6 linked regions of the Tribolium castaneum genome follow. The protein of the gene in region 2 purifies or fractionates together with the protein of the main gene of each other region. This does not show direct contact. Links are inferred from orthologs where the notes say so. Each region holds a gene or a part of one and is shown on either strand. Other genes may lie near its edges. The genes, in order: CCT2, PpV, TIP41-like protein, polo, serine/threonine-protein phosphatase 6 regulatory ankyrin repeat subunit A and mitogen-activated protein kinase kinase kinase 7.

What was found.
Region 1: the proteins of PpV (region 2) and CCT2 purify together in Homo sapiens (affinity purification with mass spectrometry; 4 studies listed by BioGRID and IntAct, with this or other methods). This does not show direct contact. The link is inferred for Tribolium castaneum from reciprocal best matches to the Homo sapiens genes PPP6C and CCT2.
Region 3: the proteins of PpV (region 2) and TIP41-like protein purify together in Homo sapiens (co-immunoprecipitation; 4 studies listed by BioGRID and IntAct, with this or other methods). This does not show direct contact. The link is inferred for Tribolium castaneum from reciprocal best matches to the Homo sapiens genes PPP6C and TIPRL.
Region 4: the proteins of PpV (region 2) and polo purify together in Homo sapiens (affinity purification with mass spectrometry; 4 studies listed by BioGRID and IntAct, with this or other methods). This does not show direct contact. The link is inferred for Tribolium castaneum from reciprocal best matches to the Homo sapiens genes PPP6C and PLK1.
Region 5: the proteins of PpV (region 2) and serine/threonine-protein phosphatase 6 regulatory ankyrin repeat subunit A purify together in Homo sapiens (affinity purification with mass spectrometry; 9 studies listed by BioGRID and IntAct, with this or other methods). This does not show direct contact. The link is inferred for Tribolium castaneum from reciprocal best matches to the Homo sapiens genes PPP6C and ANKRD28.
Region 6: the proteins of PpV (region 2) and mitogen-activated protein kinase kinase kinase 7 purify together in Homo sapiens (affinity purification with western blotting; 3 studies listed by BioGRID and IntAct, with this or other methods). This does not show direct contact. The link is inferred for Tribolium castaneum from reciprocal best matches to the Homo sapiens genes PPP6C and MAP3K7.

The regions. Positions count from the first base shown.
Region 1 is NC_087397.1:1,023,515-1,027,756, reverse strand, and holds CCT2 (T-complex protein 1 subunit beta), read right to left. Parts: upstream 2,787-4,242; 5' UTR 2,638-2,786; coding exon 2,635-2,637; intron 2,479-2,634; coding exon 2,169-2,478; intron 1,897-2,168; coding exon 605-1,896; 3' UTR 501-604; downstream 1-500. Other genes in the region: chromosome partition protein Smc, read right to left, coding at 1-92, 139-240, 286-394; Sqor (sulfide:quinone oxidoreductase, mitochondrial), read left to right, coding at 3,526-3,596, 3,642-3,972, 4,016-4,242. UniProt on the Homo sapiens protein: Component of the chaperonin-containing T-complex (TRiC), a molecular chaperone complex that assists the folding of actin, tubulin and other proteins upon ATP hydrolysis.
Region 2 is NC_087400.1:5,275,289-5,278,317, reverse strand, and holds PpV (serine/threonine-protein phosphatase 6 catalytic subunit), read right to left. Parts: upstream 1,710-3,029; 5' UTR 1,547-1,709; coding exon 1,379-1,546; intron 1,331-1,378; coding exon 775-1,330; intron 728-774; coding exon 537-727; 3' UTR 501-536; downstream 1-500. Other genes in the region: RpL7A (large ribosomal subunit protein eL8), read right to left, coding at 1-44, 97-211, 335-349; pre-mRNA-processing factor 17, read left to right, coding at 1,984-2,112, 2,163-2,709, 2,761-2,975.
Region 3 is NC_087402.1:4,517,998-4,521,087, forward strand, and holds TIP41-like protein, read right to left. Parts: upstream 1,797-3,090; 5' UTR 1,650-1,796; intron 1,595-1,649; 5' UTR 1,589-1,594; coding exon 1,410-1,588; intron 1,363-1,409; coding exon 1,183-1,362; intron 1,131-1,182; coding exon 911-1,130; intron 864-910; coding exon 549-863; 3' UTR 501-548; downstream 1-500. Other genes in the region: eIF5B (eukaryotic translation initiation factor 5B), read right to left, coding at 141-212, 261-307; TWiK family of potassium channels protein 9, read left to right, coding at 2,139-2,294, 2,526-2,799. UniProt on the Homo sapiens protein: May be a allosteric regulator of serine/threonine-protein phosphatase 2A (PP2A). Isoform 1 inhibits catalytic activity of the PP2A(D) core complex in vitro. The PP2A(C):TIPRL complex does not show phosphatase activity.
Region 4 is NC_087398.1:11,004,490-11,007,807, forward strand, and holds part of polo (serine/threonine-protein kinase polo), read right to left. Parts: intron 1,494-3,318; coding exon 1,096-1,493; intron 1,044-1,095; coding exon 826-1,043; intron 1-825. UniProt on the Homo sapiens protein: Serine/threonine-protein kinase that performs several important functions throughout M phase of the cell cycle, including the regulation of centrosome maturation and spindle assembly, the removal of cohesins from chromosome arms, the inactivation of anaphase-promoting complex/cyclosome (APC/C) inhibitors, and the regulation of mitotic exit and cytokinesis.
Region 5 is NC_087401.1:12,715,591-12,719,793, forward strand, and holds the start of serine/threonine-protein phosphatase 6 regulatory ankyrin repeat subunit A, read right to left. Parts: upstream 2,801-4,203; 5' UTR 2,653-2,800; coding exon 2,626-2,652; intron 2,580-2,625; coding exon 1,357-2,579; intron 1-1,356. Other genes in the region: spindle assembly abnormal protein 6 homolog, read right to left, coding at 4,084-4,148, 4,194-4,203. UniProt on the Homo sapiens protein: Regulatory subunit of protein phosphatase 6 (PP6) that may be involved in the recognition of phosphoprotein substrates. Involved in the PP6-mediated dephosphorylation of NFKBIE opposing its degradation in response to TNF-alpha.
Region 6 is NC_087399.1:3,650,993-3,655,033, reverse strand, and holds the start of mitogen-activated protein kinase kinase kinase 7, read right to left. Parts: upstream 2,801-4,041; 5' UTR 2,668-2,800; coding exon 2,587-2,667; intron 2,543-2,586; coding exon 2,243-2,542; intron 2,197-2,242; coding exon 1,765-2,196; intron 1,717-1,764; coding exon 1,489-1,716; intron 1,406-1,488; coding exon 1,330-1,405; intron 1-1,329. Other genes in the region: putative ankyrin repeat protein RF_0381, read left to right, coding at 2,843-3,458, 3,503-3,891. UniProt on the Homo sapiens protein: Serine/threonine kinase which acts as an essential component of the MAP kinase signal transduction pathway. Plays an important role in the cascades of cellular responses evoked by changes in the environment.

The sequences.
Region 1 (4,242 bases), on a different chromosome or scaffold from region 2:
TTTCTCGGCAAATGTATTCAATAGAGTTTTCAGTTCGTTTACATTTATTTCGTACCTTTTGATTAAATTACTGAAAATTGTTTGAATCTCGCCTGAAACGTGTTTAAATAAATGAGAAAACAAAAAATTGAAGTGCACCTTTTCGTAGCTTGATGAGGTCATTCCAAGTTGTGTAATTGTGATCACACTTTTGACATTTTTTATTGTTTCTACAAAACTCGTTTTGTGGACAAACACATTCTAAAAAATGCATGTAGGTAATTCATTGATACGCAGTTTACTCACTTTGTTCGTTTTCAATGAAATTTCTCGGCTGGCAAACTGGGCATTTTTGTGAGCTTGTGATGGTAATTAGAATAACAAGAAAAAGAATTAAGACGTCTCCGAGCAACATAATGAATACCTCTTATCAAATACAACGAGAGATAAGGAATTTTTCTCTGTTTACTTAGCCTTAACCTATTTAAATCCGGAAGGAGGATGAAGTGTGACAAAACCGATAAATGAAAGCGTTTTATTACGTGTTAATGGATCAATACAAATACATCAAAAAACTTAGTTGTACAACTAATACAATGCAAGTAAAAATAGTGAGTTTGACGAATTAGCAGTGTCCCCTATCCTCGACTCTTCTCCTCGGTGCCGCTTTAATAATATTATCAACACGCAAAATCATCTCTGCTGCTTCAGCCGCCGACAACAAAACCTGTCTTTTAACAACAAACGACTCCGTGATCCCCAAAGCCCTCATATCGCCCTGTTCCCCCGTCTCCATATTAAGCCCCGCCGTAACATTCCCACTGTTATGAGCCGCCTTCAACTCGCTTATCAACTGAGCTGAATCATACCCTGCATTATCGGCTATAATAGTCGGTAACTGGAGCAAAGCCCTCGCGAAGGCTTCCATCGCCACAGCCTCCTTACCCGGAGTCTTGGCTGCAGCTTTGCTCACAGCCACAGCCATCAAAGTCTCACTACAGCCCCCACCGTAAACAATTCGGCTCTCTTTAACTGTAGCCGCAAGGACACAAAGAGCGTCATGAAGCGACCTATCAGCCTCGTCTATGATTTGTTGAGTCGCTCCACGAATCACAACAGTGCAAGCCTCCCCTAGAGGAACTCCACTAAAACGCAGCAAAATATCCTCACCAATCATAACTTGCTCAATCAAATCGCATTTGCCAAGCTTTACAAGGTCAGGATTGTCAAACGTTGAGACGATCTCGCCACCTGTGACCAAAGCTAAACGCTCAATGCCATCAAAGTCGGCGTGTTCGATCGCCATAACGCCAGCATCGGCAAACAATTGCTCAGGATAATTATAAATTAGCTGTCTGTTAATAAAAACGTTGGCGTTATGTTTGAGGATTTTGTTTACTTTGTCTTTCATTTTTTCCTTCTCGGCCAACTCCAACTCGGCGATTTTCGCCATAGAATCCACTTTGATGTGCGAACCAAACACTTTGATTTTATCGGTGTCCATTGGTGTATTGGCGATTAAAATTCGGGCGTTTTCGACGCGTTTCGGTTGATGGACGCCTGGTTTTTTATCGAGGAGGAAACCCTCGTCCAAGAATGACTCTTCAAGGGTTCCTCCCGATTTTTTAATTAACTGAATGGCTTGTAAATCACCGGAACCTTTCAAACGCATGACAGCATCAACAGCTAATTTAGCGAAATGTTCTTTGTGTTGAGATAAAATTTTCGAACTGAGAGTCGTTCGTGCGATATTCATCAGATCTTCACGGAATTTTTCCGAATTCGAACTGTTATCAGCAGAGGCGTCTAGCAACGCTTTCCTGGCCACATCTACAGCTTTACGCCAACCAGCGATGATTGTTTGTGGGTGGATTTTTTGGTCTATGAGCTTTTCCGCTTCTTTCAACAACTCAGAAGCTGAAACAAAATTAGTTCTTTGCATAACCAATTTAATAACTAGTTAACTTTAAAAAATATGTGAAACTTAATGCCAGGAAAAAATTTGCTCTTTATTGTTCCAAGCGTATTTTTAATTTCGTCTCAAAAGTTATTAAACCTTACAATTAGAATGTTGGAGCAAAAAAAAAATAAGTAAGTCTTTAAACAATAGAAATTTGTGAAATTGACATGCGAGTCCAGAAAAGAGCTACTTTACGCCGAATTTCGTAAAATAGTCATTCAAACCATACCTAAGACAGTGACTGAGGTGGTCCCATCGCCCACTTCATCATCCTGCACTTTGGACATATCAACCAGAATTTTGGCTGCGGGGTTATCAACCCCCACCGACTTCAAAATCGTGGCCCCATCATTTGTAACTTCAACCTGCCCCGCGTTCCTGCCACTGGACACCAAAATCTTGTCCATTCCTTTGGGCCCCAGCGTACTTTTGACCAAATCCCCAATTGCAATCGCCCCCACGAAGCTCGACAAGCGGGCAATTTCCGCTTTTTCCTCCTCGGCTTCATGCTTCAACACGCGCACGGGGTTTAACGAGACCTGAAAGGGAGAATTTCTTTGAAAATGAGGCACGTGGGTTCGCCGGTTCCATGACACACCTGGTTTTACTTTGTTTGGTCTGAGTGGAAATTCGGCGAATTTTGATTTTTTGCGCAATTTGGGCGATAAACGCGAGGGCGAATTGGGGAAACTTACCATTTTTGTGTGGTTTTTTCACGTTTTTTGCTTATATTTGCGAGTTATGTACGGAACCGTCTCACTCACTGACTACACTGTCAATTGTCAAAAAACTAAATGCGAAATGCACTAAATAAATGTGGGGGACAGAGATGAAACAATTCAATTTGTTCGTGTAAAAGTGAGATAGAGTTAAGCGAAGGGCACCACACCGAAAAAACGTAAAACACTAACATGTTTTTGAAGATGGTGGAAGTCTACAAGCGCCAGTTTTGATTTTCGTAAGTTTTTGATTATACGAACGAATATTTATTGTCATAATCATATTTTCCAATCATTACAATTACTAATTTGTGTATATTACACTAGAAATCACACTATTTTTATATTATCACTTCATTCTTTTTTTCGTAGGTTAGGTCGACTTTTTATCAAAATTGGCTATTTATTAATTTAGCGTAAAAGATATGCAAATATCTTTATCTTTAAATATTTAAGAGCTCAGAAATTGACATTAATCTCATGGAGTTCCTTTGAATTCTGATAAACTTGTTTATTTAGGAAACCCCCACTTGAACCCCGTAATGTGTCCCACCTTATTTTGATAAAAAGATTGATTAAAACTGATTGATTAATGTAATGCCGCAAATTTCACGTAACCAATTGGAAAGCTCTCCACCTCCATTAGAGATTCTTCAACACTCACTCACTCTCCCTCTACTTGTTATTTAAAGTCAAGTTCTTTATCTCATCAAACGTTTCATTATTCACGATAAGAAAATCATTGCAAAAAGTTTTTTATAGTTTATTGATTTCCATTCTTATTTCTTTTTGGGTAAGTTTTGTAAAAAATAGTTAATTAATAAGTAATTTTTTGTTCCTGGTATTTGCAGAACAAATACCGAGAAAATGAACGTGTTTTTTTCGCATGTCGCTAAGCGGGGCTTTTCTACCTCGAACTTTAACAATGCTAAACACAGGTTTGTGTTTTTCTGCTAGAGTAAACATTGCGAAATCAATTTTAGTTGCAAGGTCCTGGTCGTGGGTGGGGGCACCGGTGGCTGTGCCACGGCCGCAAAATTCAGTAAAATCCTCAAAAAGAACGAGCTCATAATCCTAGAACCCAGCGAAAATCACTACTATCAGCCTCTGTTTACTTTAATTGGGGGCGGCATTTCTAGTCTCTCTGATGCAAGGAAAAATACAAAAGAGGTTCTCCCAAAAAACGCAGTTTGGCTGAAAGACTCAGCTGCCGAATTCAACCCCCAGTCAAATTCCGTCACGACCCAGAATGGCGATACAATCGAATACGAGTTTCTTTTAGTCGCCACTGGTCTTCAAACCGATTATGATAAAGTTTGTTGATAAGTAAATAAGTGGCGTTAAATTTTGCAAGTAGATTCCAGGTCTAGTCGCTGGTTTAAACAGTGACACAGGGGTGTGCTCTAATTACTCGGCAAAGTACGTCGAAGGGACGTATAGGGCGTTACAAAAGTTTGAAAACGGGAATGCTATTTTCACGTTTCCAAACAGCCCGGTTAAATGTCCGGGGGCGCCTCAAAAAATTTGTTACATCACTGATCATTTTTTGAGAAAGGTGGGCAAGCGAGATAAGGCGAACGTAAT
Region 2 (3,029 bases):
TTTCACGAAGCGGGACAGGTCACGAGGGGGCTGTATGTCCTGGCCTGGTTAGGACTTAAGTTTAAAGGGGCCTTAGCTGGGTTAAGGGGTACGTACCAATGCCAAAATTGCGCGTGCGTTTTTCGAAAAGGGGGTTCACCTCCTTCTTCTGTTCGACTTTTTTCACGGCAAGAGGGGCCGCCGCCACCTTTTTACCGGTCTTCTTCTTCGGCTAAAACCACCAACACGGTTAAAATATGCCACAACAAAGATTGTAGGTTATGTCAATCCCAGCCCGAATTTTGCCAAATAATATGGAAAATAAGGGCCCCATCAATGAAAACACGCGACTTACTTTCTTTTGGACCATTTTTCGAGTGAAATTTAACAAAGATGACTGTAGATAATTCGAATATCTACAGAAATACGCAAATGTGGCCTATCTCTTGACAGACGACACTTGGAAAAAGATGGATGATTAGGTTAGCAGTGCGCAGGTGCGACGATGAGAAAGGCGCCAAATTTGAAAATTGTTTATTGATACTAGCGTCATAAAATTACAAAAAATACGGAGTAACACTTCTACTTGGAATAACTCGTTCATTGTCGGGTACGGCGTTGAATAATTTCGGTTCGACTTTATCCGTGGTCTGGAATTCCAAAATACTTGCAATGTTGCCACAACGGTAGCAATAATTGGGGGCCGACCAAACCGTTATCAGCTTATCATCAAACATGTATTTATAACCTGAAAGACACATTAAATTATCGCAAAAACGAAACACCAAAAACAACCTTCGTGGACTAACTGATGAGCTCTGCAAATTAATGTGAGCGCGTTAATTTGCATGAATTCATGAGTGACCTTCGCCCCGAACAAGTACCCAGCCCCCCTGGGACTCGACGCCCAGGTGTCCACATCCTCAGGGTCCGACCAAACTAAATCACAGAAGGCACCTTTATGCGGAATTTCCTGATTTCTCTCCAAAGTCCGAATCTGGTCAACCGTTTTAATATCCGGACTTAAGCCCCCATGTACACAAAGCACTTTCTCGTCAATTAACGCAGCGACAGTAAGCAGATCAAACACAGAACAGCAGTATTTCCAAGCGTTAGCATTGCCATATTTAGTCAGACACTCGTCGTAAAAACCGTAAACTTGCGTAATCTGTCGACTCTCATGGTTCCCCCTTAACAAAGTAATTTTGTTCGGATAAGCCGCCTTCAAAGTGAGCAATCGAGTAAAAGTCTCAAGACTGTAATACCCCCTGTCGACAAAATCGCCTAAAAATATGTAATTGGTGTCAGGGACTTGGCCCCCTTGCCGGAACAGCTCCTCCAGGTCATAAAACTAAAACACGCGACTGTAAACTGAGCCAAGGGGACGCACAAAACCCACCTGGCCGTGGATGTCCCCACAGACCGTCACAGGAGTGGAGACGGGCTGCACGTTCGACTCCTCCAAAAGAATATCACATACGATACTGCACAATTTCTTCAAGTCGTTTTCGGTCAAATACTTGCAGTCTTTCACGATTTCAATCCATTGATCCAGCTCTGAAGACATGTTGGTCTAGCGACTTTTCCAACACCAATTGAACGTCAAAGCCCGGCAATAATCAACGTCTTGCGGCAAATAATGCCATAAAACATAGCAAAAAGGCCGAAATTTGGTAAATTGGAGTGAAGATAACCAAAAAGATGTGACAGTTTGCAAGTGACAAATGACAATTTGAAAACCACAGACGTACAAACGGACGAACCCACCGAATGAATTAATTAAATTTCGACGAAAATTGAAAAATTAACTAAACTGAAATTAAATTCCCGGTGTTCGGGCAATTTTCATGTCTTTATAATTTTAAAATAATTGGAAAAATAATTATCTATAGGCGCCAGCCTCGCTCTATGGTTTGCTTTTGACAGTTGACAGTTGTTAGTGTTTTAGGTTAAAAGTTGATTCAAATTACACATTTTGAGACTTGAGTATTGCATTTGTGCAAAATGCTGGCGTTGCAAGGTTACGGAGACAGTGACGAAGAGGAGGTTAAGCCTGAGGAGCCCCCAGCGGACCCCGAATTTTCAATCAAGAACAAACTCCAAGTGTGTGCGGCTCCTGTCGTGTTACCCACGGTGCGTGATCTACCTTATTAGCGTATTTTTACTAAATGTATGCCTTCTAGGGGTCTGAAGAGTGCATCCAGCACGTTGACCCCAGCGCCCAGGAAGTGACTTTTAACCCCAAATACGAGGAGTTGTTCTCGCCCATGGTGGGCCCTGAGAACCCCTTCAAGACCCAGCAGCAACAATGCACCCGAAACATACTTTCGGGTTACGTTGAGCCAGCGTATGTGAACGAGTTCCAATTCGAAAACCAAAGACGGACGTTTAACAGTTTTGGTTACGCTCTGGACCCCACTGTGGGCAGTGCCGCTGAAGGCACCAAAGTTGTTACAACGACTGGCCAATGCGATGATATTGACCCGGAAGCAAAAACAGTGTTTGAATCAACCAAGCTGAGACCTTTAGATAAGAGAAAACGTAAAAAGAATAACGACCCGAGCGATATTGAGGGGTTTTTGGGGCCCTGGGGTGGTTTTGTGGACGAACAAAGGGTCATGAAGCCGTCTGATGAGGAGGCAGCAGAGTTGGACGAATTATTGTCGAAAAAGAACAAGAAGGGGAAACCCACAGAAGACAAACCAATCGAGGAAAAATCAATTTTGCACAGTAAGAGTGACTATTGGGTGAATTTTGCGAAAATTGCTGGTTTTGTTACAGTTTCAGACGCTGTGGATTATCAGGGAAGGAGTTTTCTACATGCACCTCAAGATGTTGGTGTCAATTTGAAATCGGACAGCCCCCCGGAGAAGTGTTTCCTTCCGAAAGCACATATTCATACGTGGTCGGGGCACTCGAAAGGAATTGCGGCCATTCGGTGGTTCCCCCGAACGGCTCATTTGTTACTGTCTGCTAGCATGGACTGCAGAATTAAGGTCTGTCTAGTGGCCTATGATTCTTAATTTGAATAAGATGGCAGCACCGAATAG
Region 3 (3,090 bases), on a different chromosome or scaffold from region 2:
ATAGAATGAGTCAAATTGAACCAAAAAATCCCAAACAACGTGAAATTGCAGCAAAAACTACGTTTTTACAGCTGAAAATATGCCAAGTGTTTCGCAACAAACATAACCTCAATGGAGTGACAAAAACTCCAAATACTTACTTAGAGGCTTTACTTTTTTTGTTGTTTGCTTTGTCGGTTGATTCTTGCGTTTCTACCTCAGGCTCAGACTCACTAAAAACGTTTTAATCATCTAAATTGACATTTTCTGTTGATTTGTACCTGTCGTCGCCTTTTGCTCCTTTGCGATTTTTTTTCGCTTTGCCCATTTTGTAAACTTACGTAAATCACTAGTACAGACTTTATTAGTAAAAATTATCATAAGTAAACCAACAATTGTGAAAAATTTTAACAATCTGGCATGAGGTTTATAAAGGACATGCTTCAATTTAGGGACTTTAGTTTTGTCCTTGACCATAGGATAATAGAGAAGGTTGGGGATTTTATTTTTTATGACACAAATTTTGAATTTCAAAAAATAATTTATTAAATGCACTTATTTACAGAAAATTAGTCGTTTTTGCTGGTACTTTGCATGGAACACTGATCTGCGGCCCCTTCTGTTGGTGGTTTACATTCACCAAAAATCAATTTCTCGTTAACTGCAGTCCTTACAGGCATATGGGGGGATAAGACATTTGGGTTTCCAAAAACATTCAGTGGTAACTCGACATCCCCAAACGCGCATTCCTTGTTTGTGAATTCCCTCAGGATGTAGTTTGTGCTAAATTCGTGGTAAAGCCTGGTATCATTTACTCTTAACATAACGTTATCTACCCTTAGAAAAAATCTGAGGAGAATGAAGTAAGAACTGGGCATTACTCGCTAAAAACACACTTAAACAACAAGCATTGCATAACACAACAAATTACGATTTTTATAGTGCATGAAGAAATCCCATTATCGTGTAACTCATCCTCATAAAGCATTAACTCTTGATAGAACAAAATCTTTTCCTTTTCCTTTAGTTTCTCAATATTGATCCGTTCCTCAGTTGGCACTACTTGCACAGGACCGGTGATTGTCCCTTTATAATCATTGCTAAACGTCCAATCAAACGGTTTAATTTTTTGGCTCAAATGCTCAGGTGGCCTGAAAAAACCCAATCAATTTTTTCCCCCTCAATAAACTACAATTTTCAAACCTTGACTCACTCCACTCCTCGGAACAAGCCACTTTTATGGGCAGTTTTCCATTGGCGACAGTTTTAAGCGCATCCAAAGCATTAAACTCAATTTGCCCCCCTGAACTGTGTGTAAGAGTTAAAACATTATTTGGAAACACCATTTCAGGCAAATGCGGGATATCCAGAGTTCGGGTGTATCTTAAGCACAAAAATTAGCCCAAACTTTACCTCATTTCCAAACTTACAAGCAAAGTAAACAAGGTTCTTGTGACAGGTCTTTGCATTTTTCTGCACTCGTACAAATCGAGTGTAGAATATGCGATTTTTTGTACTTTATCACCCAATCATGAAAAATGTGCTCTTCGGAGTTTACGGGTAGTCTTTGGATATCAATTTCGTTTTTATTTGGGGTGACTGCAGACATTATAACCTAAAAAATGACTGACTTGGAGACAGTGACAAATTTGACGTTTGCACCGGTTTACCTCAATTTTAAGACAAGGGACTTGTCTTTAATTGTAAAAAATGGACCCTGTGTTCTAATATCTCACTTTACTCAACTTTGAATCGTTTTATTTGCGTCCTATAACAGTGCGCTTGCGCCAGACGCAACGCATCAGCGCCAAATTTAAAGTTTGCAAAAAAATGTTTTCAAAAAAATTACATAAAATTCGTGTTTTTTGCTTATAGCCTTGATATCGCAGATTAACTTAAAGTTAATCAATTGTACGCAATGCAATAAAATAAACTTGAAAATTGGTAAATCATTATTCTGTTATTTGTTTTGATTCGTTGGCCGCCCCATTATCGAAAAAGCCGTCCCCGGAATGATAAAGCATCATTTGGGAGCGCTAAGCGCATCTGTATACTTCCAAGATTCAGTATCATAAAGCGTCGCGACGCTTTCGCGTCTAGTTGACTCCAGCCCAGCTTCAAGGGTGATGTGTTCGTGTTTGTGATTTTTGTACGCAACCATGGACGAAATGATGGAAACTACGGTTTACATAAGCTCTCCCATGGACTTTAAAACACGTTTTAAAAATTGGTGGAAAAGACTGCGCTTGAAAGCCGCCCTCCAACACATCGGGCTTTTGATAACTCTCATGGGGTACACAGTCGCGGGGGGATTGGTACGACTTTTGAATCAATTTACTTAATCGCGAAAGTTTCAAATAAACGCGATACCAGACCGAAGATCAAGTTTTTATTGGTTGAAAAAGTTTCTTCGTTAGTGCTTTTCGTGTCTCGGGAAATAAACAGCCACACAATTAGAAATAAAACAAATTTACGCAAACTATTCTTAACTAAATTTAAAACGAGCAATTCAGCCCACTTTCCTTGTGTAAATATTTCTCTTTCAGATTTTCCGACGTTTCGAATATCCTGCTGAAATTTCACGACTTAATCATTTCAACAACACGCTCTTGCTGAAAAGAGAGAATTTTATACAACAGATTGTAAATAACACCGATTTGAAAAATTTTGATTACTTTATATCGGGCGAATTGGAGAATTACGAGAAAATTCTGCAAAGTGCGTGCAGAGAGGGAATACCATTATTTCCCAAAGAACAAGTTGCGAAATGGACCACGTTGAAAGCGGTGTTTTTTTCATCGACCGTTTTAACGACCATTGGTAAGTAAACAGTTTCACCACTCGACTCGAGAGACCGTAATCAGTTAATTTCCGCATTAATTTGTTTGCCAATTAAACAATCAATCATTTTTCGCGAATTGTAGTCAAATAAAAGTGGTCCAAACTCGTTAATTCAGAGTTATGGTTTCACTTCCGTTTTATAAATGAGAAATCGAAAACGTGCTACATGTTCGAACACAGGATTATTGCTGAAAAATTCAATCCTAATTTAATTGAATTATAAACACGTTGTTATTACACTGGCTCAAGTGTTCCAGGGCCGTAACGAAC
Region 4 (3,318 bases), on a different chromosome or scaffold from region 2:
ATTAAATTGGTTTCAAAACTTGACCTGACCTGACCTGATAACTCTGTGTACAACCCATTACTTTTTAGTTTTATTAAATACTAAGCTGCATTTCATTCTAATTCTCAATTTTAAATTAACAACATACAATTATCAAGCCAACTATTAAGTCAAGTCTCTGATGCATTCTTAATCTTTTTGTTTTTTTTTCTGTCATCTGTTCAATTTATTGTGTTATTGTTTATCATTTTCTTAAGTTTTTAGTTCGGCGTCAGTGTACAACTTATTAGAATAAATTAACAAATATTTTGACCCAATTAGATTAATTTTTCAGCTCGGTATATTTAGGAAAGAAACTCAGAAATTTAAAAAAATATAGAATTGACTACTTCTTTAGGAAATTATAACATATTTCACTTATTTCAGGTTATTCTTGGCGAAATTTCGGTTAAAAACAATAGCAGATTAAGTAAAGTCTTTGATGTGTTTTTAATCTTTTTTTATTTTTCTGTCATCAGTTTATTTAATTGTATTATTGTTTATCATTTCTTCATCAGTGTACAACTTATAACAATAAATTAACCAATAAAACTACATAATAATTCGTACAGATTTTGAACAGATTTTCGAAAATATCAATGATATAGTTCTAAAATTCTCTCAATTTTATTTATAAAAGGTACTACGTTTAGAAACAGTTGAATTTCGCCAATTTCTAGCAAAAATGTAATGTAACTTTCAAAAAAAAATTCTAATGAACGGTTTACTTATAAAGATGGGTTAAACTTTGCCCAGAAAGCTTGAGAAATTGTGTGATTTTGACGAATATGAGAATTTGTCCCTTACCGTTGTTGATTCCACTAAGCGGTTTCCTCATCGACACGTCATATTTCTGGAACCTGGGTGCCATCGTCAGACTACTGACCGGCAACGAAGACGGACAATACCCATCGGTAATAAACGGGTGTTGTAGCAATTCGGTTACTTTTGGACGCGATTTCGGATCTGACTGCAACATGAGCATAATCATGCTCTTCGCCGCTGGAGAAATAGTCGTCGTGAAACTAAAATTCAATTTTTAAAACAATAAAAAATCGATAAATCCCTTCAACGCACTGATATTCGCATTTCTTAATCCTTGAGTACGTTTCTTTAAGCGAACGTGTCTCAAACGGTGGTTTGCCCACCAGGAGTGTGTACATGATGCACCCGATGGACCAGATGTCCACTTCGAATGAGTGGCCCTTCTTTTGGAGGATTTCCGGTGCGATATAGTTCGGAGTACCACAAAGGGTTTTTTTGCGTTCGCCTTCGTATTCTATCGTTGCGGCTAAACCAAAATCGCCGATTTTCACCGTCAGTTCATCGTTGAGGAAGAGATTGCCGAGTTTGAGATCGCGGTGGATGATGCGCCTCTGGTGGAGGTAACTTACTCCGTTCAGGATTTGACGCATGTAGAAGCGAGTTTCGGGCTCGGTGAGCATTTTTCGGCGCTTTTGCAACTCCATCATAGACTACAGGAAAAAATAACCGAAATTACAGCACATATTTCAATGCATTTTTTTTTGGTATATTAAAAATTCGCTCATGGCAAATCAAAGAATACAAATTATCAGAGATAATAAACTGGTTGTGGTTTTGAAATGATTACAATTTTACGTATAAGGTAACAAAACACGGAACAAAAGTGAAGATGATTCAATTATTAATTCACTGGTTACAAAATTTCACTTTTGTCTGTTGCCGTAAATTTAACAGTTGATTGTCCATCAGCTCGAGTTTTTATTTTAGGGCTTATGAAGAGTGTAGAAAGTGCTAATAGGAGCTACTTATATCACAAAAACTAAAGGTCGTAGAAAAAAATATCTCGCCACTTTTTAATTATATTATTTTTTTGCTATTTTAACGTAGACTTACTATGTAAAATAATCTGGGAATCGATTAGCGTCGAGAAAATGGAAATGTTCTTAATAATTTACTAATAAATTTAATAGAGTTACGTGTATTAATTCCGGAGTTATTGCCCGATGAATATCAAAAACTCGTATAAATATTCACACTCAAGTTTCAAACAGCAATTACGGCAAAACTAAAAAAAGTGGTATTGTTTTACTGTAAACAAATGTAAAATGATCTAGGGAATCGATTATTTTCTCGAAAACTAGCATTAATCGGAGGAAAATCATCTTTTTTATTAAAGATACATTTAAAACTGTAGGCAGTTTTGAAATCAGCGTCCAAGAACAGCGAAAAAAATCTGACGCAACAGAAAAGTTAATGTCTAATTAAAGTTGTGTCCTTTTACCTCAAAACTAGAACTGAAAGAAAAAATCTGTCTGCAGTTTTGAAAACAGCGTCCAGCAATTACTTACTTATCAACAGCAAAAAAAATTAAAGCAACAGATGCTTAATGCAACGGTTGCTGCAGAATAAGCGCGAAATTTTTCCTTGATTTTTTGGCTTTTTGTTGACAATTTTGTGAAATAATAATTAATAACAACGCTTCTGCATTAAAAACGTGCCAATAAAACCCAGAAATTAAAAAAAAATTCTTTTTTTGCCCAATTAGGTCATTTTTCTGCTCAATATATTTATGTAAGAAACTCAAAACCCTGTTTAAAAAATCAAAAAAAATGGCAATGACTCCGTTTTTGAGAAAATTATAACATTTTTGAGATAATTTTACAAAAAATTTCGCTCAAGAACCAACAAAATCGAGTGAAACAGACACAACATCATCCATCATTTTTATTTTGAGTTTTTTAAATCAATAAATGAGTTTCAGGTTCAAAAACGAATTAAATTGACAAAATAAGATCAATTTGTAATTTTTCAGTCCATTTTAGTGAAGTTTTTCGAAAAAAAACTTAGTATGTCAACCAGTGGCGTAAGGATACCAGTTGGGGCGTGGGATCCAAACTCATTCGCGGGCCCCCATTACAGCCCCCATTCATAATTTACCTTAATATTCACCCATCTTATTTATATTCTACAAAAATTCTATTTTAAGAGTATTATTAACTTATTAGCCTTTTTTGTAAAAAACTAAAGTTTTAAATTTGAAATAAAATTAATGAATTAAAAAAAAACATTTTAAAAAATACAATAATCTTTACTTCTTGTAGCTATGTCTGTCCTGTGCTCTAAGCTCCAGTTTAGTTGAATTGGTTGGCAAATTTACAGATTAAACTTTTTTCACTTTCTTTTACAGAAAAACTGTCAATTTTTGGTAATTTCAGCATTATATCAGATAAGTTTGTAGCTACTCATTTTACACGACACTTAAAATATAAATTTTAGGTAAATAAATTGTTAAAATAAAGTACGACAATTTACATC
Region 5 (4,203 bases), on a different chromosome or scaffold from region 2:
AAATTCTCCTTGACTTCCTTTGACTGGGAAAAGAGGGAAGGGAAGACAGAAAAACATAAAAAAATAGTAAATAAAAAAAGACCGGAATGACAACAGCAGTGGGATTTGAGAAAGAAGATGAAGGAAGGAAGAGTAGAGAATAGCGATATGCAAACCAAGAATACAAAAAAATAAGAAAAAAGATTCTATAACCTATGTTCAAAAATGCTCTCTGATTTACTTTGACTGAGAGAACCGGGAAAGGAGGACAGTAAATAGAAAAAAAAATAAAAAAGACAGGAGGAATAACAGAAGTGGGAATTAAAAAAGAAGAGGGAAGGAAGAGGAAGGAAGAAAGGGTAGAGAACAACAATACGCAAACCAAGAACATAAGATATAAGAAAAAAGTTTCTACAGACCTATGCCCAGAAATGATTCCTGAATTTCTTTGGCTGAGAGAACATAGAAAGAAAGAGGGTAAATAGAGAAAAAAATAAGTAAAAAAGACAGGAGGGATAACAGAAATGGGATTTAACAAAGATGAGAGAAGGAAGAGCCGACTACAGCGATACATAAACCAAGAACAGGAAAGATAAAAGTCTGATAGAGAATTGAACATGGAAATATAAAGAAAAAATTAAAAAGATCAACAAAAAATAAGTGAGGGTAGGAAGTAACCTATAGACGAAAGAAAAGAGAAAAACAGCAAATCAGAAGAAAAAACCCGTTTTTGTATAAAATAGTGCGTCGTACAGATAATAACAAAAACAACATTTTGTAAAGAAAATTACCCAATAAATCTAAAGCTGCCACAAAAATTTACAAAAAGTTTCTTCCAAAACAAAATTTTACGCCTCTTGAAAAAGGACCCTTGTCCGCAATCTTCAGGAGGCTTTACCCCTCTCAAGAATATTTCAGTTCTTAACAAAAAATGGCAATAACGTATTTGTATTCTTTGGAATAATATAAAGCACAAATTCAGAGTTTCTGTATAAGAAAAGAATTCTCTGTTAAACAGAATCCCAACAACAAATTTAAAGCTAAAAGAATTCGAAGAGAAAAATAATTTTGATAATAACATTTGTTGCTTAAGATTAGAAACAGTCTATTTGTTTTTTTTTCCTTTTCTTTTTTCTCATTTTCACATAAAGAATCTCCATAGCATCATCCTCCATAGTATAATAATTTTAATTTAATTTTTTAATCAGACTCGTCAAATCTTGAAGTTTTCTTTTCTCGATATTTTTTATTTAATTTTCATATTTTATGTATTCGTTAATTATATTTAAAATTTTTACCTTTTGAAATACATATTAATAATTACTCGTATTACTCGTAAGTTAAAATCAATCCATTATTTTTTTCGACTATTCTTACCCTTTATACGCTGCGCAATGAGTTGGCGTTTTCCCCGAATCATCCACAGCGTTTAAATCCACCCCAGCTTGCAGTAACTTCCTGCAACACTCTACATAACCGGCCAAACAGCACATATGAAGGGGCTGCCTCCCTTCGTAGCCCCTCTGTGAGGGATTAGCCCCATAAGACAACAATGTATTGGTCAACAAATCGTGCCCATACCTCGCCGCAATATGCAAGGGGGTACAATCATTCTTATCGGGACAATCAATCGTCGCCCCCTTGTCAATCAAAATCTTACTCCTCGTAAACCTCCCATGTATTGCCGTCATATGTAGCGGAGTCCTACCATCGAGACTCTGCCTATTAATATCAACCTTTTGCGTCAATAACAACATCATGCAATCAACCCCATTCGTGCTAACCGCAGCGATATGCAGGGGCGTCTGCCCCCGATAATTCACCGCTTCGATATCAGCCCCCGAGTTGATCAACTCCTGGCAGACCAAATGGTGTCCGTTGAGACACGCAATATGCAAGGGGGTGTTCCCGAAGACATTCTGCGCGTTCACGTCAGCCCCGTGACTGATCAAAAGGCGGCACACGGCGTCTGTGCCCCCGGCCGCCGCCACATGCAAGGGGGTGTACTGGTTCCTGTCTTTAGCGTTAATCTCAGCTTTGTATTTTAACAACAGCTCGATTATGCTCAAGCTGCCCACCTGCACCGCCCGGTGCAGGGGGCGGCAGTCCTTCTTGTCGTACGCGTTGACAATACAGCCCCCCGAAATGAGGAGTTCCACGCAATCGGCCATTTCGCTGTAGGCGGCGAGGTGCAGGGCCGTGCGCCCCCCTCTGTCGGTGACGTTGGGGTTGGGCACGTGGTTGAGCAACTGCTCGATGCATTTGTACGCCCCGTTGGCCGCCGCCACGTGCAGGGGCGTCTGCCAGAGCTTGTCTCGCGCGTTGACGTCGGCGTTATTGTTCAACAGAATGGACACTGTCTCGCTTGAGCGGATGTAGCAGGCTTGGTGGAGCGGCGTCAGCCACTTGGTGTCTTTCGCGTTGACTCGGGCCCCGTTCGAGAGCAAGACGGAGGCGATTGCGGCGTCGCCGGTGAACGCGGCCGCGTGCAGAGGAGTGCGCTTTTTGCTATCAAGGCAGTTTACGTCCTGTTTCGATTTAATCAGTTCTTTGTATTTCTCGGGCTCGCAGCCCGCGAAGATGGCCTTGACGATGGGGGGCTGACAACATGGTTAACATAACCTCACTTGGGGGGACTTCGCTTACCTGTTCCTCCAACTGGTACAGTCCCATTGTTAGTTACTTGCAACTTAAGGCGAAACATGAAATAAGGGGGAAGTGGTTAAACCATTGCGGAATAAATTAAAATTATCTACGTAAACTTAAATGTCAAAATAATGTCAGACGTCAAATGGTTGGTGGGACTGTACTGGGGTAAAATATTAACAAATTAATTAATTTTTCTGCAATTATTGTTTAAATTAAACTGCTTGCTTAATGTGGTTTTGTTCCAAAAATTTCATCAAACAGTAACAAGTTGGTCGATTAAAAGTAACCACCACTTTTTAGTTTTTTTTTTAGAATAATGTCCAATATTCATTCAAAATTCATTAGTGGTTTAGATTTTCCATCAGTTGGGCCTTTTTAAATACCTCAGATAATTAAAACATTCACAAACATTCAAATTGTTTAGTGTTTTTTGCAACTTGCACTGTCATGTTGGTACGTGATATTGTAATCATCCGCCGATTGTGCGCCGCGTCTGTTTTGTGATTCTAGAAAAATTTGAATTCAAAAGTTGTGTAAGAGATTTAGGTTTGTTTTTAAAGCGTTAATAATCGCTGTTAGTTTGTGTGTGAATAATTATTATTGACTATTGTGGCAGTGTAAGTGAATATGACCATAATATGACCGTCTCCTGGAAATTTGAAGACGCCAGGATGCCGAACATGTTACAACAATCCTCAGGTAAATGTCCTGTATATTTTTATTTGTTAATTAACGAAACTTTAAACCTAAACACTTGACCGGCTCAAAATGCGAAATAAAAAACGTAAAACTTTCAATTTTGTGGCGTACTACTTGTCAGCGCGCAATATCGTCGTAAGTTTTATTTTACCAATTAATTACTCGCGAAATAATCGTGTACAACTCTAATTACAAACACACAATACAGTTTTATTTTCGCTGTAATGGTATCTGAAAATCCAGCTATATAAACATATATTGCATCCTTTGCTTCAATTTTGTAAAAGCATGATCAAAGCATGGCCAACTAATCAAATGTAAGTTAGCGGTGGCAAAAGATGGCTTTGAAATCAAGAAAAACAGTGTGGCCAACATGAAGCTGAACAAAACAAATCTTAATGTTAACTTCAAATTATGAAAAAATTAAAGTCGACAAAATGAGCACTTTACTAATAGAAAACGGTTCAGTAAAAAAATTGTGCAAACTCAATATCTCCAAAACTATAAATTGTGGAAGAAAAATGATGACATATTTGGAATCCTCAGACAATTTTACGCCAAAAAGGCGCACTTTTGATATTGTCCTCTTGTTGATTTTTTTATTGGGATATCATATTGACTTAGTTTTATTGAGATTATTATAGTACCAAAAATAGATAATTAACGAGGTACTAAGTACTTTCAATTAATTTAATTTATTACCACACATTTGTAACATTTTTTATTTGTATCAAAAATTAATAACAAAATACAGTACTACGAGAGAAAATTCCTTCGTGGAAAATCAACTGACGCCAGTTTTCTCGTCAGCAGCTCATTCACTGAAACCACTGTTTAAAATCGTAATAGTACCAGAAAAAACTTACATTTTGCAGT
Region 6 (4,041 bases), on a different chromosome or scaffold from region 2:
GTCATCGATTATTAGGTCGGAAAGGTCGGAAAATGCAACAATAAAACCATCATGCTTGTGACAACAGAACCGGGAAACATTCACACAAAGGGTTGAAAATTTTTTAATTACAACTACGGTCTGCCGCCATCGTCCAGGTGTCCGTTCGCCACGAATGCACTTCCGGACGTGCGATTTCCATGCCATTACATCACAAACTCGATTAATTACACATCCGTCCTTTCAAAAATAAAAACGTGACTAAGAAGATTGTGGCCGAATTTATTTTAGTCCTTCCCCGGCTACTTTACGTAAAAATAATCCATCAAAACAATTACTATTTACCGTTATCAGTCTTGCACTCTTTGAAAATGATCCAACTTCGGTGGCTCTCATGCGTGGTGAAAACGCTGGCTCTCGGACAGTCACACATATCGCACGAAAAAAATCAAGGAAAAATCTCAAACGGTACGAAACATGATGAGATTTCGGACAGGATCGATAGGAACGTGTCGATTGTTTATGTTCGGGGGCCACTCGAAAAACTACGCGAGACTACCAGCCGCTGGAAAGAAACTGGCAACGGCCGCATGGGTGCGACTGAAATAGCGATACGGGGAAGACGCCAGGGACAGAGCAAGGCGCTGCCAGCGACGGACTGCCCAAAACTTTCGTCCCAACGTTTTTTGAAAAATATGGGGCAAAAGTTTGATTTTTTTTAAATATAGTTTACAACAAAAATTTTGCACCATGTCCTACAACCATGAATAAGTGCGCTCTCTGGCGACGAGAACGTTTTATTCGTCCATCGTTTCGCATCCTAACTTTTAGTCGTCCGTAGTCCCAAGCCAAAATTTGGAATTGTTTCTGCGGAAATGGCCTTAGGCAAGGCCTCAAAGCGCGTAAAACCTGCAAATAGCCGCCTTTTCCGCATTTCGGAGGCCGGTGGTGAATTGGGGCCAGGCCGTCCCTGGCAGGCCGATCAAGAAACTTCCAACTAAACAAACTACTCTAAATCGGTCTCGCTGAGTCAGCGCGTCTAAAAACAGATGCCCCTTCGTTTCGCACGTATTTAGGAGGAGGAACCGGAATTTCGGCCAAATCGAGCTTAAAGCGCCGGACCTGCACGACTTTAAGGTCGCAAAGCGATAAAAATACCGCGACGAAGCCGTGCAGACAAGTCGACTCGGCTTTGATCTTATTTTTATTGGTCCGTGTGTGACTAACACTGCGACAAATAAAAATTATAGCCCCTCGAGTGTTTTCAAGAATTGCAAGTTGTTGAGTCATGCACTAAGCCAATGCTCTCGGCTAAATTTACAACGAGCCCACAAGAACAACACAACCTACCGTTTTTTGGTACCATCTTATCAAGGCCGGGCATGGTTCTCAGCTGCATGTCGAGATCGTGTAAATCCCATGCGTCCTGCAACAAACGACTCAATTAATCAATTTTACTCATTTTCTATTAAAAGACAATTACGTCATGCGACGTAAAAACCGACTTACAGGGCTTATTTTAATGTTGAGGGGCCGCGACATCTCGGCACTCGGCTGGGGCAGCGATTTGACACAATTATCGCCGTTGGTGCTGGCGGGGAACTGGTCTATTTCCTCCACACAGTCCTCAAACTCTTCGATTTCCTCCTTGTAAACCACATCGTCACCGCCCCTGATCTGCAACGGCTCGTCGGCGCCCGGAAGCAACGAGCAAATAACTTCCATTTTTTTCACAATCTGGAAGCCAAACTTTGACTTTCCCCACTCAAAAAATAGTGCACTCACCTCCTTCATGCTCGGCCGCTTGGCCGCCTCCTGATCCCAGCACTGTGTCATCAGTTTTTCGATGACTGGGGGGCAGTGCCTGATGAGAGGGGGCCTCCGGCCGCTGTGCTTCGCCCACAAGATCATGAAAGCCGAAGGGTAGCCCGACTCCTTAATGTGGAAAAAAGGCTTAAGTCGCGATAACACCTCCCAGAGGATTATGCCCCAGCTGAAGACGTCGCACTTTTCCGTATAGTTTGACGTTTCAAAGACCTCGGGGGCCATCCACGCGGCCGAGCCTTTGTTGTTGGTCATGATTGCTGTCATGTCTGTGGCAGTACCAAAGTCGCATATCTTTAGCAAGGTGCCCCCGTTTATCAGGAGCAAGTTGGGCGGTTTGAGGTCTCTGTGTATCAAAGGTTTGGGTTTCATGCCATGGAGATACTCGACCCCCTGGAAAACCGAGTTAAGAGTGTGTCGGTGCGGCTTCGCCCCTTACTTTGGCGCACTGGTAGAGCCAGGACATGGCGTTGGCCATCGTGTAGTGTACGTTAGGTGCGTGGTGTAGAATATTGAAGAGGGAGCCCCCTTCGGCGTACTCCATCACAAGGCAGATGTTGGGGCCCTTGGTGCAGGCCCCGTACAGCTTGACAATGTTCTCATGCTTGACCCTTGACAGCTGCCGGACTTCCACAATAAAGGCGTCTTTGTCGTTCTCAGAGACGATGTTTTTGACCGCCACGAACGCATCGCGCCAGATTCCCTTGTAAACGACTCCAAAGCTGCCCTCACCGACTGCCTGAAACCACAATGTGTCGGTGGCCACAACCAGGGCTACTTTACCTCAAGCTTCTGAATTTCATTGTAGTTGATTTCCTCGACGGTGTACTGACATACGCTACCCTCATTTTCCGAAGACGCCATCGAAATACCGAAGTAATCACATATTTGGCCACAGAGCGTCCAGACAGCCCCAAAATTACGAAAAATCTCGATAAATATCAACCACCATAAATTTGGTTATGTATCCTTCAGATCAAGTGTCACCTTCGGCTCGAAAATCCCCAGCCGTGTTCAAAACTCGGCGCGAGTGTCAATCATGTCGAGCGAACGGGATTTACACAAACGGGGGCACCAGGGCTTCAAGAAGCGAGTCGAGAGTGACGTGATGAGCAGTGTGGGCAAGAAAGTCCTAGAGAAGAAATTCTTCGTTGCCGTTTACTCCCGGAACATTCCTGAGATAACAAAGTGTTTGAGTAAAGGAGTAAACCCGAACATTCGCTCCACGGAGTACGGTGTCACCCCTTTGCATTTACTCGCCGAACGGAACGACTACATCCTGGGGTACCGCCTTTTGGAGTATAAAAAATTTGACGTGGATGTGCGGAACGCCCACGGTTACACTGCCCTGCATGTTACCTGCTTATGCGACTGCAAAAAATTTGCCCTTCTTTTGCTGGAACACGGAGCCGACCCCAATATTTACGGCCGGTTTAATAAAACAGCCCTGCATTTATCCGTACAGAATGAGAATTACGGTATTACGATAAAGTTGCTAAAATTCGGGGCTGAGGTCAATGTTGTTGACTGCTTTGGCAATACGCCCCTCTCTTTGAGCATCCTAGACACCAATAATTACCTAATTGCCAAAACCTTGTTCCAAAGTGGGGCCAATATGAGCGTCGAGCACCAAAGACCACTCCATATTTTTTTTGGTACTTGATCATCCAAACGAAAAAAGTATTATTAAAATTTGCAGAAATGGTGTTGTATTGCCGCTGCATTCGTCAGATTGATTTGGTGCTGCTCTTGTTGGAGAACGGGGTTAATATTAATATGAGGGAGCCCGACTCAGGGCGCAATTGTCTCCACTTTGTTGCGGTGACCGGTTTTCTGGAACTGGCGGTGGTTTTGGTCGAAAAGGGGGCTAAAATCCACGTTGTGGATAGCTGTAAGCGCAGCCCCATTAAAGTGGCTGTGGACCACGGTAACGAAGTGATCGCCGATTACTTCCGCAAGGGCTACAGACCCCCGCCTTTGCTCACCGCCCTCCCGAAGATCTTCCAGTGGTCTAGCAAGGTCCGGGCGCGAATCAGCGAGCGGAAGCTGGCGGAGATGGAGAAAGAGGCCGAATTGAAACAAAAATAAACAGATCATTATGCACAATTTATTAATATTACGGAATACAACATTCAATAAATATATTGTAAATATTATACTGACTGACTTTTTGAGAGTTAAAACATATAAACATCAATAAACTAGTAACACAGATAGACTTTAAACGATTCAAAAACG